Linked DNA regions of Drosophila melanogaster. Changing the gene in region 1 together with any one later gene gives a genetic interaction. Each region holds a gene or a part of one and is shown in the gene's direction. Other genes may lie near its edges.

Evidence for each region. Genes that interact genetically often act in the same process or in processes that back each other up.
Region 2: of Abd-B (region 1) and pb, changing one suppresses a phenotype caused by changing the other (phenotypic suppression), as found in Drosophila melanogaster (one study listed by BioGRID).
Region 3: of Abd-B (region 1) and lin, changing one suppresses a phenotype caused by changing the other (phenotypic suppression), as found in Drosophila melanogaster (one study listed by BioGRID).

What each region holds. Positions count from the first base shown.
Region 1 is NT_033777.3:16,928,226-16,936,148, reverse strand, and holds the start of Abd-B (abdominal B), read left to right. Parts: upstream 1-1,906; 5' UTR 1,907-3,117; coding exon 3,118-3,778; intron 3,779-4,535; coding exon 4,536-4,747; intron 4,748-4,831; coding exon 4,832-5,033; intron 5,034-6,296; coding exon 6,297-6,511; intron 6,512-6,568; coding exon 6,569-6,760; coding exon of another isoform or gene 6,761-6,919; 3' UTR 6,920-7,923. UniProt on the Drosophila melanogaster protein: Sequence-specific transcription factor which is part of a developmental regulatory system that provides cells with specific positional identities on the anterior-posterior axis.
Region 2 is NT_033777.3:6,739,055-6,743,770, reverse strand, and holds the start of pb (proboscipedia), read left to right. Parts: upstream 1-1,707; 5' UTR 1,708-2,603; intron 2,604-3,596; 5' UTR 3,597-3,671; coding exon 3,672-4,221; intron 4,222-4,716. Other genes in the region: zen2 (zerknullt-related), read left to right, coding at 1-522. UniProt on the Drosophila melanogaster protein: Sequence-specific transcription factor which is part of a developmental regulatory system that provides cells with specific positional identities on the anterior-posterior axis. Controls development of mouthparts, and labial and maxillary palps.
Region 3 is NT_033778.4:8,912,592-8,918,743, forward strand, and holds lin (lines), read left to right. Parts: upstream 1-1,932; 5' UTR 1,933-2,416; intron 2,417-2,473; 5' UTR 2,474-2,509; coding exon 2,510-5,086; 3' UTR 5,087-5,643; downstream 5,644-6,152. Other genes in the region: Pgi (phosphoglucose isomerase), read right to left, coding at 14-596, 842-975; CG34219 (uncharacterized protein), read right to left, coding at 5,745-5,941, 6,001-6,152. UniProt on the Drosophila melanogaster protein: Has a dual role as a segment polarity protein and as a modulator of the Abd-B protein. Required for Abd-B to activate the transcription of genes (including ems, cut and sal) that are involved in posterior spiracle morphogenesis.

The sequences.
Region 1 (7,923 bases):
CTGTGGTTTACTTACCAAGTTTCTGCATCTTTTTTTTTTTGCAGAACGCGTCACTGGAAGTGAGCAAACCGGTGGAGTAGATCCATCCCCATTCAGCAGCGGTGCAGACCCACCAAGCACCACCCCAGCAACAAATCTCAGCGGTGGCGTCCGGCCAAAACCACCTCGTTGCGCCGACAGCGGCGAGCATTTCTCCCTCCAGCGTCAGTTCCCATCCCACAGGTAAGCTAAAATTATAATTAGTCCGGTTTAAGCCAGATATGTATTTAAATATGTAATATTAAGGCGTTAAAATGCTACTAATAATTATAAAATGCTATTGTGCAGAGAGTTTATCCCTTTAAAATAATTCTGCGTGTTAGCAGAGTGGTTCAATAGGAAAAATGTCAATCATACTTTATTTCTATTTATAAATAAAAAAGTTGAATAATAATTTCAATCGAAGAAGTTATTTTTGGAAATAGATTGCGGCAGTTAATTACAAGTTTTGTATTATTATAAGTAGAATTCTTGAAGTTTTTTTGGGGTTTACTTGATCAACTTTGTTATGTAAGCAGTTGGACTCTTCAACTAAATGCGTGATGTGAAAAATTAAAAATGAATGTTCTGATTTCACATAAGAAATAATATTATTCGTCTCCAGTCGCGATGACTTCTGACATTTTCTTAAGCCCCTGCTCAAATGTATTATTGTAATTGCTAAGTATGGATTTTTATGCGATTGTACATACATTTTGTTGTCAAACGGGTTGAGAGTTGTTCTCATCGCATCCTTTTTACGATTTGTTAACATTTCCTTGGCCTCGACTGCGTGCCTTTTGCTTTTCTTCCAATGGCAATTGCCATAAAATTCCCATAATTGTCCATTGCAGCGTAAAATTTGGCAACTGCCTTTGGAAGTGAGACAAGGAGGGGAATCTGTAGAAGAGCCAAAAGGGAGAAAGGATGTTGAGATAGGGGTGAAAAGAGACCCGGGGTTTCCTAACAATTGGGCTGTCATAATTTGCTGACTGAACTGGCGCACGCATGTATTTGTTTAACTAATTAGCATTAATTAGTCACTGCGCTTGACGACTCGTATAATTGGTCGCGATCCATGGTCTTTATGCAGTGAGTTTTTCTGTATGTTGCTGCTGTTGTGGTAATCGATAAAAAGCGCCAACAACAAGCCAACTAACTACACACAATGTGGTGCCATCTACCACGCCTCCCCGCCCCCATTCCATCGAAATCTCGGACATAGATGGCGCTGTGGTGCGCGCGTGTTAAGTATTCAAATCAGCCCCCAGAATCGGGCAGTAAGAGCGGGCGGTGAGTCTGAGAGCGTTTTTTGTTCGTTGAAGAGCGGATGCCTTCACACGTACACTGTGCGTGTGTGTTTCGCCCTCGATGACCCCCTGTGACTTGGAGCACCTGCTGAGCTCAGCGAATTCCAGAGCCAGTCCCAGTCGAAGTGCGATACCATCTTTACCTCATTGAAGGCGCTAGTTGAAACAGTGCTATTTCCCCCAGCAACATCCAAAACTCTCTTCGGCTCCCCCCACTTACACACGCACACTCGCTGACAGTCTGGGATCCACACAGACGCTGTATACAGTGTACGTGTGCATAACGCGCCACAAGAGAGCCGCACCAACTGCCATCAACATAACATCAACCACCACCACCATCAATCTGAGTGCTTGTGCAACATGCGCATGTCCGCGCTCTCTTCCAAGTCACACGGACGGGGAGGCACACACACACACACACACACACACACACACACACACACTGGAGCGGGCTGGCGCCGCTGCGCTTAGAGTTTGTGTTCGTGTGCTGGTTCTGGTTCTGGTCTTGGTCTTGTGTTGTCGGTGTGCCGTGCCAGCGATGTGGATATGTTGTCGCCGTGCGCGTTGCTGCCGTCAGTGTAGATTTGTGCTTCGCTCTGTTCGGTTGGAAGGCGCGCGGGCGTCCAGCAGCAACAACAGCAACTACAACAACAGCCGAGGCAAGCGGCCCTGCAACTTCGTCGAGGACTGGGACTTGAACGATTTCGTACTCGCCGTCCATTCACATTCACATTCGACTGGGAGTGTTTCGTTCGAACGGTTCGAAAAATACAAGTTGAACATTTTCGAAAAATTTAACTGAAAGAAGAAACGTTTTTGGAGTCGTATAAAAAATTAAATCAAAAAACAAAAAACACAATCAAAACATCGTGTCGCCGGCGTTGTGAGGAGAAATAATAACATTTTTGTTAACTGTTGCAAACATTGCCTTTAATTGTTTGTTTTGGTCGTAAAATCAAATTTTATGACCAGCAACATAAAAAGCGAACGCCAGCAGCAGCAACAACAACGACTGCAGGCCCCACAAATAATAAACTATTTATGATAATTATAAAAGAGAGAAGAAAATCAAAAACAAACGCCAACCGAAAAAAAAAGAAAAGTGAAAAGAAAACATTAACTGACAAAGGAAAAATTGGAAAAGTTTTGGAAAATTGGATTGACCGAATGAAAACTGAAAAAAGCCAATTTGAAAATACTGCGTGAGTTGCTGACGACCGCAAGCACCCTGTGAAATTCAAGCTGATTCGATCCCCTGTGCAACAACAAAGTTACTCTCTTCGCCCGCTCTTTAGGCAGTGTGCGTGTGTGAGTAAGTCGGCGTGTGCGTGTGACCGCTGACGGACGTTTGTGTGCGTGTGCGGTACGCAAATAAAAGGGGCAAAACTCGAGTAAAGGTGCTCTGAATATTAAAAATAAAAATTATTAAGTCGCGAAAAAAATATAAAGAGACTTAAACAATTAGAAAGGCGTCACTCAGAGGAGTGAGAAAAAAAAGACAGAGAAAGGTCGGTGGGTCGAGGCGATCGACCCCACTGCACCGCCTTTATCCTCGCCGCCGCAGTTCGAGTGCAACGCGTCCAAGATAACCGTAAATATTCCACCCCTCCCCCAAACCCCAACCATCCCGCTGGCGTGCGCTCTCTACGACCCCCACGATGTCTCGGCAGTCGGGTCGCACGCCGCTGCCGGGGCGTGGTGGGGGCATCACACACACACCCACACCCACGTACCCACCGCCCCGCACCCGCATCCGCATCCCCAGGCGCATCCCTCCCTGCCCGTCATGCAGCAGCACCATCTGCAGCAGCAGCAACAGCAGCAGCAGCAGCAGGAGCAGCAGCATCTGCAGGAGCAGCAGCAGCATCTGCAGCAACTGCATCACCATGCGCACCACCACCTGCCTCAGCCTCTCCACACCACCAGCCATCACCACAGCGCGCATCCCCACCTGCAGCAGCAGCAACAGCAGCAGCAACATGCAGTCGTCGCCTCCTCACCCTCCTCGGTGCTCCAGCAGCAGCAACAGCAGTCAACTCCCACCACACATTCCACGCCCACGCATGCGGTTATGTACGAGGATCCTCCGCCTGTGCCACTTGTCGCCGTACAGCAGCAACACCTCCCCGCTCCGCAGCAGCAGCAGCAACTTCAACAGCAGCAGCAACAGCAGCAACAACAGCTGGCGACAACACCGGTGGCCGGCGCCCTCAGTCCTGCCCAAACACCCACTGGACCCTCCGCCCAACAACAGCAACATCTCACATCGCCCCACCACCAGCAACTGCCGCAGCAACAAACCCCGAACAGTGTCGCCAGCGGCGCCTCCTCGAATCTCCAGCAGCAGCAGCAACAGCAGAATGCTGCAGTTGCTCCTGGCCAGACGCAGATCGTTGCGCCGACCACGGCGAGTGTTTCTCCCTCCAGTGTTAGTTCTCAGAAGGAAGGTGAGGTCCCAGAAATATAACTTTCCTTGGGGTTGAAAACCAGCGGATTTCTTATTGGAACTCCATTGGTTATGGGCTTTCAAAGATCGTTGGGAAATATATTTTTTGAAATTTTCTACATCTGAACTGGAAAACTCTCGAAATAAATTGGGGACGTTAAATTGGGAACGGGGTCGTTCCACTTGTTTTTTTTTCCCCCCAGTTGCAATAACGTTTCAGTTGTGCTGATTGCAGCACGTTTTTCAAGGCTGATAAGGCTTTTCTTTAACTCTCCCAGGAATCGTCACGCATTTAATTTATTTACTCAAAATATTTGCGTCTGTTTTATCATTATAGACTATATAATTGCAGGGTGGTAACAACTTTAATTTTGTAAGGAAATTAAAAATTTTTAAAAATATTGTTTGTGAGTGTACTGAAGTTCTTCAAAACTGCATTGGTTTTTTTTTAAAGAGTTTACACAAAAAAAAAAATTAAACGATGATTTGAAACGTAATCGTTATGGTAACCATTTTATTACCTTAAGTGTTGACACGTGTTAAATATACAGATTTATATATAGACGAGGTGTGAATGCACCCACATCCATGACATCGACAAACAATCTAAGGGTTATAGGCACAAATGCCACGCCAAGTGATAAAATGCCAAATGATCAAGGAGGTCGATTTGATCATAGACAGTCGTTAAAATTAGACTTACCAGCCCTAGTGCCAATATTAACAGCAGCAAATCTGCGCTTATCGTTTACTTTCAGACATCAATATGTCCATACAATTAGCGCCACTGCATATACCCGCCATCCGGGCCGGTCCGGGATTCGAGACGGACACCTCGGCGGCGGTCAAGCGGCACACGGCACACTGGGCCTACAACGACGAGGGATTCAATCAGCATTACGGCTCCGGGTACTACGACCGCAAGCACATGTTCGCCTATCCTTACCCAGAAACGCAGTTTCCGGTTGGTGTAAGTATGGCCACAGCGCCACCCACGCCTCCACATCAGTTGTAAGCAACTTCGTTCCAACCCGACCTCATTTCTCCCCCGCAGCAGTACTGGGGCCCCAACTACCGCCCCGATCAGACCACCTCTGCCGCAGCGGCGGCGGCCTACATGAACGAAGCGGAGCGCCACGTGAGCGCCGCCGCCCGACAGTCCGTCGAGGGCACATCGACGTCCAGCTATGAGCCGCCCACCTACTCCTCGCCAGGCGGCCTGCGCGGCTATCCCAGCGAGAACTACTCCAGCTCAGGTGAGTCCAGACCGGCCAGAGTCGGCACACTTAAGGGTAACGAGGTTAGGCACACTGGAAATAATTTTGAGCATCTTGCAACTCTAGTTTGGGAGGAGAAATTTTAAAGATTAAAAATTAAAAATTTACTGTTTACAATTCTTAAAATTTTTAATAAAATATTTGGTTATTCATATGAAATTAAATTAAAGTGAAAAATTATACGAATTCAAAATTCTGTTTAAAAAGAGGCGTTCAAATTCCACCTAAATGTTTTTAATTGTAAAATATATATTTATAGACCGTCAAATTTTCCAATGAATCGATAATTATTTGGAAGTGTTTTTTATATGGTGCTATTATTTTTTTTCCTAAAAGCCAAGCCAATTATTTAAACAGCCCTAAAATATTAAGCATCCTACAATATAAAGTTCAAGATTATTTGATTTTCCTATGTGCACTAGACTTTTCGTCGTCGTATCGGTTGAAATAGCAAATTGCGAAACCGTCAAGTTTGTCGTTCAATTAGCGTAGTGCAAAACGGCCCATAAATCGATACTCGCTATTTGGCTAGCGTTACGCCTTTATGTGGGTGCGAAAGTCATTGGGGTTTGCATTCTATGGGGTTGCCTGTTTATGTTCGTGTCTTATCACCAGGTGTTTTTCAACTGCCAGAATTGTATCTGTCGACTAGTCATATTTTCCCAGTAGTATCCATGGTATCCATAGTAAAGACTCGTTATTATGGCGGAATATGTCAGTTAAGTGACCTCGCCAGCCAATTTTACAATTGGAATTCAGGTCTCTTAGGCTCGATAATTAATTTCCAATCTGACCTAACTGTCCTAACTGTTCAATGCTACCAAGACTAATCGAAGAAATCAGATTAGATTCGAAAAGCTCTTCACTCGTGCTGAACTAGCGTTTAAATTAAAATAAATCCAACTTGTCACTTTATTTCAACATTAATTTAATTGCTTCATTTGGTCGGCCAATGAGCGGGAACGAATGTATTCATTTAGTGTTATCCACTCGAGTGTGAATATGGGCCTCATGCCAATTCGGAGCTCCGCTCCCCGTACCGCACCAATTAAGAGGCCATAAATGAGGAATTGAATAATTTCGTATTACGCTTATTGCTAAACAATTTCCGTAATTGCTCTATAAACTTAACGATCTGATATTGCACCGAACACCGAGCAACAAAACCATCGGACCACCCGCACTTGCGGTTTAATGAAGTTAACCATGTAGTTTAACCCCATTACTTGATGATGTTTTCAGGAGCCTCTGGTGGATTATCCGTGGGAGCAGTGGGTCCTTGCACGCCCAATCCCGGACTGCACGAGTGGACCGGTCAGGTGTCCGTCCGGAAAAAGCGCAAGCCGTACTCGAAGTTCCAGACCCTGGAGCTGGAGAAGGAGTTTCTTTTCAATGCGTATGTTTCCAAGCAAAAGCGCTGGGAATTGGCCAGAAATTTGCAGCTGACCGAGCGACAGGTGAGTCCATAAACCTACTGACTTGAACTGAATTCATTAAACAGGCGTTCCTTTCAGGTCAAGATATGGTTCCAGAATCGGCGCATGAAGAACAAGAAGAACTCACAGCGCCAGGCCAATCAGCAGAACAACAACAACAATTCGAGCAGCAACCACAACCACGCGCAGGCGACCCAGCAGCACCACAGCGGCCACCACCTGAACCTTAGCCTGAACATGGGTCACCATGCCGCCAAGATGCACCAGTGACCCTTGGACAACAGCAGCGCTGGCGCCATGGGCTTTGCCACCTACTAGCAGTTAGCCAATCCGAGTTCGGGTAACCCCAGCTCGAATCCCAACCCCATGTCCGATCCGAATCACCATCATCTAATCAAGAACGAGCTGGCCATGGACTTTCCATGCTAGTCCAGCGATTGGAAGGGCGATTCCAGCCAGGCCGAGTTCAGTCGGTTAAATGTACAAAAACCAGAGATCTCTAGCATGCGGGATAGGAATATGTGACCACAATGAGGAGCAAGGATGTGGATGAGCAACTGCCCAGAAGTGCGCAGGCGTCGCTGATGTGTGACCAACCGACGTTGATGCAAATGCAGTTTATTATTAAGTCAGTTCTACGGATCCCAGAGATCCAAGCCCCAACACGATAATGCAGCTTAGTTCGGTAGTTGAATATAGATACGAGTAAGATGAAGAGTAAGCAGCAGCAGTAGCAGATGCACTTGAAATTCGCAACTGTACGAAAATATATGTATGTACGTATTTCTCTCAACGCTCTCATTAGCCTAGGCGAGCACTATGAATTTTCCGAACTATAAATTATGAATATGAATATACTTAAACGTCAGTGAATATAACCCCGCATAAATTATGAATACACGCGTTCGAGTAGTAGATTTTACCATACCTATCCAATTAAGAGCGGCCACAAGGCGGCTGAGTTAGGCTGAGCAGCAGAACACATTTTAGACCCAGATAAATGTTCTTGAAACACAAATTGAAATTGTTTAACAATTTTCGGACCCCTCACAGCTCCGCAAACAAGAAGACACACTCCGCAGTCTAGGATAAATTTTGTCGTATAATGTTCGTCGTGTCGTGTCCTTTGATACCTTCTAAGTTCCTGTATATAAACTAAGACATTGCGCTGATTTCCGGCCGAAGCGAGCACTCGATAACTAAATTACATCAGATATATGTATATGTATATTGCGTACACGCAGAGATATTCAATATTTGTATAATATGAACTCGGATTCGATTTTAGCAAATGGTTAATTGTAAGTTGCAAAAATTTCAATGAGTGTGTGCATGTTTACCCCATAGTTGAAGTCGCTTTCGAATTAAATTAACTCTTAAACCAAGGAAAACACTTAACAAAACTACTCGTAAAGCTAAAGCAACAAAAACTT
Region 2 (4,716 bases), about 10 Mb from region 1:
TTGGCACTCACAGAGAGACAGGTTAAGATCTGGTTCCAAAATCGTCGCATGAAACTCAAGAAGTCGACCAATAGGAAGGGTGCCATTGGAGCGCTGACCACATCTATTCCACTTTCTTCCCAGTCGAGCGAAGATCTTCAAAAGGACGACCAGATCGTAGAGCGTCTCCTTCGATATGCCAACACAAATGTGGAAACAGCTCCACTCCGGCAGGTTGATCACGGTGTCCTGGAGGAGGGTCAAATTACACCACCCTATCAGAGCTACGATTACCTCCATGAATTTTCTCCTGAGCCCATGGCTCTTCCCCAACTGCCCTTCAATGAATTCGATGCTAACTGGGCGAGTTCATGGCTGGGCCTTGAGCCAACGATTCCTATCGCAGAAAATGTAATTGAACACAATACACAGGATCAGCCAATGATACAGAATTTCTGCTGGGACTCGAATAGCTCTTCTGCTTCATCGTCGGATATTTTGGATGTTGACTATGACTTTATTCAAAATTTGTTGAACTTTTAAATATATCTTTGACTATATGTTTAGGCAACTGTACATACATACATATATAATCATTGTATTATACGAGCAATATCTTTCTGTGACTACATTATTATTACTTATTTTGGATGAAATAAAATATGTTTTATAATTAATGTGCGCATTTATTTGTTCAAACAAAAAATGCTGGTTGTGCAGCATTTGGGGATACATTTTGCGGACTCGATTTTCAAAAATTTCACCACCAGACAAATCAAATATTTTTAGACAAAATTCCATTTTAGTGGGCGATACAGTTGAGAAACTAAATAAGCTTGACTTGTTAAAACATTTATTTATATGATATTTATAATGAATGGCCTTGGCTTTTTATTTTACTTAATGCTTCCTCAAAGTTTCTGTATTTTTCACACATATATCTTTTTCACAATTTTAAACAATCTCATGGTGCGCATCGTCATTACGTAGACTGCCGATCACATAGCTCCCTGCTGTCAGACAACTTGTTCGTCAGAGCGTCCAAGTACGAACACCACCCCCAGCTGCAGTGCAAAATCGTGGCAATATTTTTACACCTGTAGTGACACCCGTGTGCATTAAAATCCGCACATAATTACAAACTCTGCGCGGACTGGATTGGAGAACGTTAGCAAAAAGAGGGCGAAAAAGCGGCCAAAAGGCAAAAAGCAATGCCACCAAGATTGACAGGAGAAGAGGCGCCCAAAACAAAAAGAGCGATGAGCGAAGCAAAATGTCAAAAATACCCATAGCCGAAAGCCAAAAAAGCCGGAGAGCGAGAAACTCGCTACTGTGGCTTTTTCTTTTCATTTTTTAGCAGATGCGAAATGTGTAAATAAGAAAAACCAAATAAATTCCGTCACAAGCAACACGTTCGCGTTGGAAGTGGAAAAAAGTGAATGAGGCAAGAAAACGCCGCGGAAATGATGGCCCAAGATACAGGGGTTCCCGAGCTACACGACCGCAAAGATACAAAACAAACTGCCGAGCCGGCCAATCAGAGGGCCGGAGACTTGTGCGCCGGTGTGTGTGAACTCCACCCCCTGGTCTCTGCGCGTAATGGCTATAGTAACCAGTTTCCAGATGGCACCGCGCATGTGCCGACCAGGAAAAAGCGTGATGGATGCGGTGGCTGTCGCTTAGGCCACTCCTTGATACTGGGTCCCAAAATCCCAGTTCAGTGCGTTCGGTGCTATTGGATGGAATGGTTGTTGGCTGCTATCTAGCTCTCGGGAACCGCACGAAGCTCCCCAAAAGCCCTCTGTCTCGCTCTCGCTACGAATCGGTTCGGTATCTAAAAAATAATATTTATTAAAATGACAGCTACAAAAATAGTTCAAAAATTTTGAAAACTAAAAAGTGATATTATTAAAACGAGTTGAAACCAAAAGTTTTACTATACGGTTGAGAAGCACTTTAGGAACCCCTGGAAACCCGGTTCTGCGCACCTCTTGAAGGCCAGAGAGGGACAGCTAGTGCCCACATGTGTATGAGTGCGAGTGGAGAAAACTATCTCAGACGAATTGCAACGACTGAGTGTGTGTCTGTGTGTGGCCATTGCAGCGATCGCAGCGACTCTACAAAACTCTACAAAATCAACACATTCCGCATACGCACCGTTGTACAGCGCGTACTTGCACTATTGTCGTTATCGCCGTTGTTTCGTCGGTTGTGTTGGCCTTTCGCGTCGCCATGGCTGCCAAAAGGTGTGTGTCTATGTCAACCTGAAAGCGAAAAACCAACTCCAAACACCACTTGACGGTTGAGCAAACACAACGGTGGCCATATTTACATTCGGATCTGGGTTCCCTCGCTCTCGTCGCGGTTGTCGCCTCTTTTCGCGGCCCACAGATAAGCCCTGACACACTGAAGTTTTACGCAAAACCCGCATCGCAAAAGTTGTGCCGGTTGAAACTAAAAAAAAAAAACAAACAAAAAGTTAAGCCAGTTACTATGAGCGAGTGCAGACAATAGTGAAAACGGTGACCCAAGTGATACCGGTGAAATTTCCACAAAGAACGCATATGTCAACGTAAGAGGAGAAATATGGAATACTGTGGTCTGTAAATGATCAACTTAATATGGTACGAAATTATCTTACACATATTTCTTACCTACATTTAAAAATAAGTGTATCCTTTTAAAGCACGAGAAAATCAAAGCGTGTCGTTATTTCGTTTTTGATACAACATGTTAGTCTAAAATACGAGCCTTTTAAGTCGGCAAAATGTTTACTGCAAGAAATATTTCAAATCTTTAATTGGCGGAATCGGAAAATATATTCGAATTTTCTTATTCATTTATACTTCCTAGGAAATTAGCTATGCGGCATTTCTTAGATGAGGATATGTAACAGCTTTATAACTTTTTCTGTTTAAAATATGTTAATTTATTTACTGACTATTAATCCTTAAAAAAATAATGTAAAATAATGTATGCGAACCAAGCCAATTTAGGTAACATTGTAGGACAGGTTGTATGTATTGTACATACATACAATACATATTGTCAAATCTCAATCGAAATTAGGTGGCCATAAATTTAAAGTGAAGGCCTAACAATTTCTATAAGAGCAATAGTAAAAATGCAGACTACAAATGAATTTCTGGCACAGAAAACTGAGAGACTAATGAAATATAAATTGGAATATGTAATTTAAAAATAGTCAAGTTTTTGACAGTTGCAATGTGAAAAATTGGATCGGTAATAATAAAATAAACATTGATTAGCATAGTAAAGTGACGATGTTTTTGTTTCTTAAAATGTTAATGAAGATAATGACATATCTTAATGAAGTATATACGTACATTATATTGAAATTATATATATTCAAAATATATAAATAAAAATTCAAAAATTATAAATATAATAATAAAATAAACATTGAATAGCATAGTAAAGTGACGATGTCTTTGTTTCTTAAAAGGTTAATGAAGATAATGATAACATATCTTAATGAAGTATATACATACATTATTCAATTTCACATTCGATAAGAACAGTGAAACCTCTAACTTCCTGGGAACTGAATCGTGATAACATTATTATGAGATTACAAAAATGGCTTTCCTTTCCAGGTTCCCAAGCTGAGGAACATCTAATACGCTCAGGAATTGAAATAGAAAGAATCTAAAAAAAATTATACCCAAGCTATGCAAGAAGTCTGCAGCTCCTTGGACACGACCTCAATGGGCACCCAAATCAAATCGGAATCTCCACTCAACCCGCTGCAGGTGCAAACTGGACAGACGTCCCTGCCAGTGGGTGGTTGCGGTGGTGCGGGCGTCGTGGGTGGTGTGGGTGGCGTGGGAGTGAGTGTTGGTCAGCCTGGTATCGGACAGCAGGGGGTGCCACCTGTGCCGTCGGTGCTCATGGTCAACAAGATGACCCCGAACTGTGATAAACGGAGCGCGGACACGGCCTATTGGATGACAGCATCCGAGGGCGGGTTCATCAATTCGCAGCCGTCGATGGCTGAATTCCTCAACCACTTGAGTCCGGAGAGTCCCAAAATCGGAACACCTGTTGGATCCGGCGCCATTGGCGGAGTAGGCGTCAACGTTAATGTCAATGTCGGCGTCGGAGTCGGATATCCGGTTGGCGTTGTCCCTCAAACGCCGGATGGAATGGACTCGGTGCCGGAGTATCCCTGGATGAAGGAGAAGAAGACATCCCGCAAGAGCAGCAACAACAACAATCAGGGTAAGTCCACATGCACATTACACTGGGGGAAGCATAAGGTTTTTAATTTAGCGATCGACCATGTCAATTTGAACACCATTCTCTGAAGAATAGGCGATAATCTCATCAGTCCATCTCAAACTATTGAATCAATCAAATAAAAAGTAAGATATTTTTATAGACACTTTTCCATATCAGTTTAGACCGGAATCAATTGGGTTCTCTTGTCCCGGCCATTTTTTCTTGCCGTGTACTGGCTGGTGAAATGCGAAACTCTCATTAATCACGAGCTCACAGAAACCTAAAGACTCCAATAGCGCCAATTATGCCACTACGAAGTCCCTCTGGCACCTGGTTTCGAAGTGATGAAGAAAGAGCCAGTGCTTTCGCTGACCATTTACAAAATGTATTCCGACCAAATCCCTCTACCAACACATTTATTCTCCCTCCTTTAATAGCAGCCAATCTAGATCCTCAAGAACCCTTTGAATTCCGACCATGTGAACTAGCAAAGGT
Region 3 (6,152 bases), on another chromosome or scaffold:
TCGCTGTACTTACCTCCTTGGAATGCTCCAGGAGCCAGGTCTTGGCGGAGGTGGCGTTCGTAATGGTCTCCTGGGTGGTGAAAGTTTTTGAGGCGACAATGAAGAGGGTGGTCTCGTAGTTGACCTTCTTGAGGACCTCGGCCAGATGAGTGCCATCGATGTTCGACACAAAGTGGGAGTGAAGGCCCTTGCCGTAGGGCTTCAGCGCTTCGGTGACCATCAGCGGGCCCAGATCGGAGCCACCGATGCCGATGTTGACCACGTCGGTGATCTGTTTGCCGGTGCAGCCGCGCCACACGCCGGAGATGACCATGTTGGTGAACTCCTTCATGTGGGCCAGTTCGGCGCGCACATCGGGCATCACGTCCTTGTCGTCCACCAGGACGGGATCCGTGCCGCGGTTGCGCAGGGCCGTGTGGAGGACGGCGCGGTTCTCCGTGATGTTAATGTGCTGGCCGGAGAACATGGCGTCCCGCGCGGCGTTAACGCGGCGCACCTTGGCCAGGGTGAGGAGCAGATCCCAGACCTCGTCATTGATACGGTTCTTCGAGTAGTCCAGCAGTATCTCGCCATCGTTCTGGGTGTGCAGGCGCAGGCTGATAAACAAACGAAAAACATTTGACCTCAGAGCAAGTACGATTCGGAGGTCGTTGCTGTGACCTTACGCAAGGACAAATCGAGTGGCGGCGACACTCGACAGCCGATGGTGAAAGTGAAAGTGGGCAAAGCGCAACTCGATGAATAAACGATTGCCGATGGGGGATACACGAATGAGTGTATGTATGCGGGAACTAGATACGTAACTTCCACCCTCTGAGGCGAAATCGACACAAAAACCCACCTGTATTTTGAGAATCTCTTGGAATCCTTCACGAACAGGTCCTTGATGTTCAGGTCCTTGCCCTTGGAGTCGTAGTACTCCTGCAGCTTCTGGAACGCTGCCTCCTGGTTGAGCGGAGGAAGTGGGCCGGCCATCTTACTTCAGTTATCCCAAGCAGGAACAGCAGGCGGATGCGGAGTAGAAGGGCAAGGGAGGACTATTTAGCACTCGATGCAAATTAGTAGCACACGGAGAAGAGAGCACAGGCGAACTGCTTCGACCGCTCGCGACACTTCACTTATAATAGCGGATCCGGCTGCTTAGGCGTCGGGTAGTTCCTATTATCTGGCTCCGGCAAATCTCCAGAGCACCGCACCACAACTTCGCCGTGTTTGCTTTTGATAGGTACTGACTGAGCGGCTGCCGATTTTCCAACGTCCTTTCTGGAATTCGCGAGCACCTTTCAATGTCAAATGAAAAACAAGCGAGTGTTGCCACGTCGGCCGCGCTCTTGTTTTAATGTGCCGATCGGTTTGCAGTGTGTGCGAATTTACTGTGTGTGGCCGCGTGGAGATGAACTGAGAACTTCCTACTCCTAGATCGTCTGCACCGGTAGGCAAAAGGACATAAACTGAAATTTTCAAAACGACTTAACCGCCGCTAACGGCATAATTTTATCTCGATGTGGCAGCACGCTCGGTGTTCAGGGCTGTCAGGTGTCAATGACTATCGAATAGCATTTCTATTATTTAATGTCAAAAATGTAAAAATAAAAACATTCTTAAAATTACTTTAAAGTTACCCGTTAAATTAGCACATATAAATTGAAAAATATTTGTTATCTGTAATTAGCTTCTCACAAAATATTTTTTGTTAAGTTCTCTGCAATCTTATAATTCTCAAGCACTTAATTATTATCACGCATTAGAAAATTAAAACTACCGGAGTCATTGTTATTAGAATTACTTTAGCAAACATTGTTGCTAAAGTTATAAGCGTGCAATAATTATTTTTAAAAAATAATACATTTCGGAAAGTAAAATATATGTGAATTGAGTTGTGACGACAGAGCTATGGTTGCGAGCCTGGCTATGTATATAGCTAACGCCAAATACCAAGATCCGTTTGGCAACGCTGCGCAAGTAGGGTTACCAGGTAGCTGAAACTCGCTAAAAGATGGCGACGCGCACTTAATTTTTGTTTTTTCCCACATAATAAAGTGTAATAAAACCAAAATAAAAGCAGTGCCAGAGAAACAATCGGAGGCGCTTAAAAAGTGAGAAACAGCACACGACCCAATCGACTGGCCCGGGCACGAAGCGAAACGCGAGTGCAGTGAAACTCACATAAACATTGACATGTCGCTGGCCCGAAGAGTGCAACAAGTGTGTGAAAATCGAATTGTGGCCGTTTAAAATGTTTGGAGGAGCAGTCAGAGCACCTGGCGGCAGCTAGAGCGCCCTCGTCGCCCCCAAGAAATCATAGTGTGTCTCAGGAAGCCGAGAGAATCGCCCCACGAAGCCAGGCAGCAGCGTCTGCACACGTAACCTTGTGTGCGCGTAGCACGGAAGCTGTTTGTCGGAATCGGGTTTGTAGGTATGTGGCTGCGAGCCGCCGCTTAGATTCGCTGCTCACCGGGCATTTCGCTTGCAGACCATTTGCAGGACGTCGGGTACGTCAGCGCGGAGGATGGACACCTCATCCGCAGCAGGATCTGGAGCCGGAACGGGCGATGTGTGCCCATGCTCCACGGTAGCAACCTCCACGACCTCCGCATCAAACGAACAGCCGCAGACCAAGCGCCAGAAGATCGAGCAGCAAATCAAGGTGGGCTCCAAGGCGCTGCCACCCCAGCCGCCCCATCCGCCGGATATACTGGACCTGGACGCCAACAGCAACAGCCACCTGTGCTCCTCGCTCTCCTCGTCCTCTTCGCACTCGCTGTCAACGCCAAGCACCGCCAACAACTCCCCCACCACCACGCCCTGTAGTTCCCGGGCGGCGTCGTACGCCCAGCTGCTGCACAACATCTTGCCACAAAACGGGGACACAGACCTGCACAGCCAGCCTGAATCCGCCCATGACGAAGTGGACAGGGCGGCCAAATTGCCCAACCTGCTAACCCTCGACACGACCAACGGCAATGGCAGTCATGCTAGCAGCAGGAGCAATTGCTTGCAAGCAACAACAGCCACGTCCATCGACGATATGCTGGAGTTCGAGCAGTCCCTGACCCGCCAGTGCCTGTGCGGCGTCTCGGAGCGAACGCTGCGCAAGCCCTTCCAGTCGCATTACTCACAGGACACCAACGGCCAGAAACGGATAGCCTACCTGCGGGAGTGGCCCACCAACAAGCTGCTGCAGTTTCTGTCGAATCTGCAGCTACTGTTCGATATCTACCTGAAGCAGAACGCAAAGGGCTTCATCTGCACGCGGATAATGGACGTTTGCGACGCACTCATTCGCAATGACCACAAGCTTATCGACGAGATTATCGTGCTGGCCGGCTACGAGAACTCTTACGTGCAATTTCTGGCGGGACGTGTGCTAGCCGCATTCCTGGTGATTGCCAAGCAAGAGCTGAATGACGAGTGGCTGCAGAAGATCGTCGACCAGCTATTTAACTTCGAGCAGCTTGACCAGGCGGCCGTGCAGAAGATCCACTTCAGCCTGGACATCATCAAGCGCATAGTGGAGTGGAAGGATATGGAGATCCATCCGCTGGACGACGACTGGATGGCGTCGGCGAATAGTACAAGTGCAGCCTCGTCAGTAGTGCCCCTTTCGACAGAGGCGTCCGTGAGCTACATGCATTTTCCCGTGCAGGAGCAGCCGCTAGCCACCAATTATTTTGCACTGCAATTTCGCGAGGATACGGAAGGTGAACGAGAGACGGGGCAGGAAGCACCTGACAACCGCGACCGACATCGGCGGCACTTTGGCGAGGATATGAACGTCGCCTACGAGCCGCACCCCGCTCCCCAGTCCACGACCATGCCCAGCGGTTGCCATGTGGTCACACTAACCGACTCGGAAAGCTTCGATACGACGCACCTGAAGTGCATCACCATTCAAAAGCTGGAGCACAAGTGGCCCACGCTGGTGAAGAACATGTCGGAGTTGATGGCGCCGACGCATCAGGATGCGGCCGAGCACTGTGTGCTCAACTTCTTGCAGCTATGGGAAAACATCATCTCGGTGAAGGCCAATCTGTCCATCGACGAGACGCGACCCTACTACGCCCAGCTGGACAAGTTTGAGCTGCTGCTCAGCCACAGCCTCTCCTGCACCGTGTACAAGCAGATGCTGTGCCTCTTCAACGAGGCATTGTGCTATGGTTCCACGCTGGCGCTGCAGGACATGCTGCCCGAGGAGACGTGCAAGCTGGCTCACCAGATAGTCTGCCATGTGCGCGGCTTCCGCATACTGGAGTCGTTGCCGCGGCGACAGCCGGACAACATGGTCAGTCTGATCGGCTACAATGGCAAGCCGATGGTGTACGCCAATGGAACAATTACCCTGGCACATGCCGCGCAATCAGGGGACAGCGAAGAGGACGGTGCGCCACTGGACCTTATCGAAATGGATAAGACACTGTTGCAGAAGATGGTGCTGTTGGTGCTGAAGTCGATAGCGGTGACGGTGAAGGAGATACGCAGCGATTCCTCCGACTCATCCATCGATTCCACCGACTACGATGCCTTCCAGGACATGATGCTCATTGAGCGCTCGATCCGCGATGTACTCAGCAAGCTGGAGACGTTCATAAAGCAGACGCTGGAATTCCATCCGGAGTGCCACTTCAGCAAGATCCTGATCCACCTGTTCGACGACCAGGACGACCACTTGATCGAGGCCATGGTCTGCACGCTGGACGTCACGTCTGGGATATCGTTCCGCAACAACGCCTTCCCCGAGCTGGTGGCCATGCTGAATCCGGTGTACACATTCCTGGAGTTCCTCAAGATGACATCGAACAGCTCGGACCTGCTGCTGGACCTGCTGGTGAGCAACGAGACCTGCTTCCTGCTCTACCTGCTGCGCCTGCTCAAGTACATCCGCATGAACTGGACGATGTTCGTGCACAGCTGTCACACCTTCGGCATGGGCAGCGCCATGCTAGACGAGGCGATGGGCGTTCTTATCCGGCTGCGCCTGCAGATATCCCGCCTCGTGTCGCGCCAGCTCTACCCCTACGACATTTCCCCCGTGCTGCGCCTGCTCGAGAGCTGCGAGAGCCTGTACGAGGGCAACGAGCTGAGCTGAATGCGGCGCAGGGACGAACTTCAACCACATGCAATTAAAATACGTAATTTATTTTAATATTTAATGGAATAGGAGAAACTAGCGCAAAATTCGATGAAGATGGAGGCCTTGTAGAATACGTGTATTAGCCGTAGGGACCAACCACTCCGACCATAACTCCGCACCCCGATCCAGTAGCGCGTCAACCGTAGTTAAGATCTTGCACCCTCTTCATCCGCTTCGCCCAGCAGGTCTTTCAACCCAGATACATACCCAGCTGTATGTAATTGTCATTGTAATTGTAATGAGCATCACAAGTTCGTAGTTAGTTCGTAGATAATGGTTATATCATAGGTACTGAATTCCAAACTAAACACTACGCTAGCCTAAGATTTTTTTAATCTTGCCCTAAGTAGAATAATGTACAATAGGATGGCAAAATGCTGCGGCAAACGGCTGCCCGCCGAAGTGGGCGTAAATTCGGTGTCTTCGAGAAGAATATTCTTTGTACGTTTTTTTAAAACACTTGAATAATATAACATAATTAACTGATTAAAAGAAACGCATTAAGAAGGACTACAACGTGTGCGGTTTCTGTTTCCGAATGGTGTGTTAAAATACTGTAGTCTCTTTGCAATTTCGTTGGGCTGTGTCCTGATCTCATCTGGACTTCTGGACTTCAATGGCGATTTATCATGCGGACGCGCCGCTTTGGATCAGCGGCTCCACTTGGCATACCACTGACTTCTGGTGGTGGCCCAGTGAGGCTTATCACCGAGCCGCGCCTGGCCATTTCCGGAGGATGTGGACTCGATACGTGCACCGTTTGATAGTTAATGCTGATCGGAACCGAGGAGCGACGGTTAAGACGAGGCTCTAGAGAAGAAAGTAGTTGGTCTTATGGGACGTGTCACTTTGTTGTGGGGACTCTTTACCGAAACGGGCTTCTCCGGATCCCGGCTTATGCGGATGCTGCTGACTGGGTCGGCTGGCCAAAGGAGATACCACCCTGTAGTGATACTCCTGAACCAGCGGAACGGACCTGGTGAAGCCTCCCTCATCGTTTAGCGTGTACTTGAAGCGATCC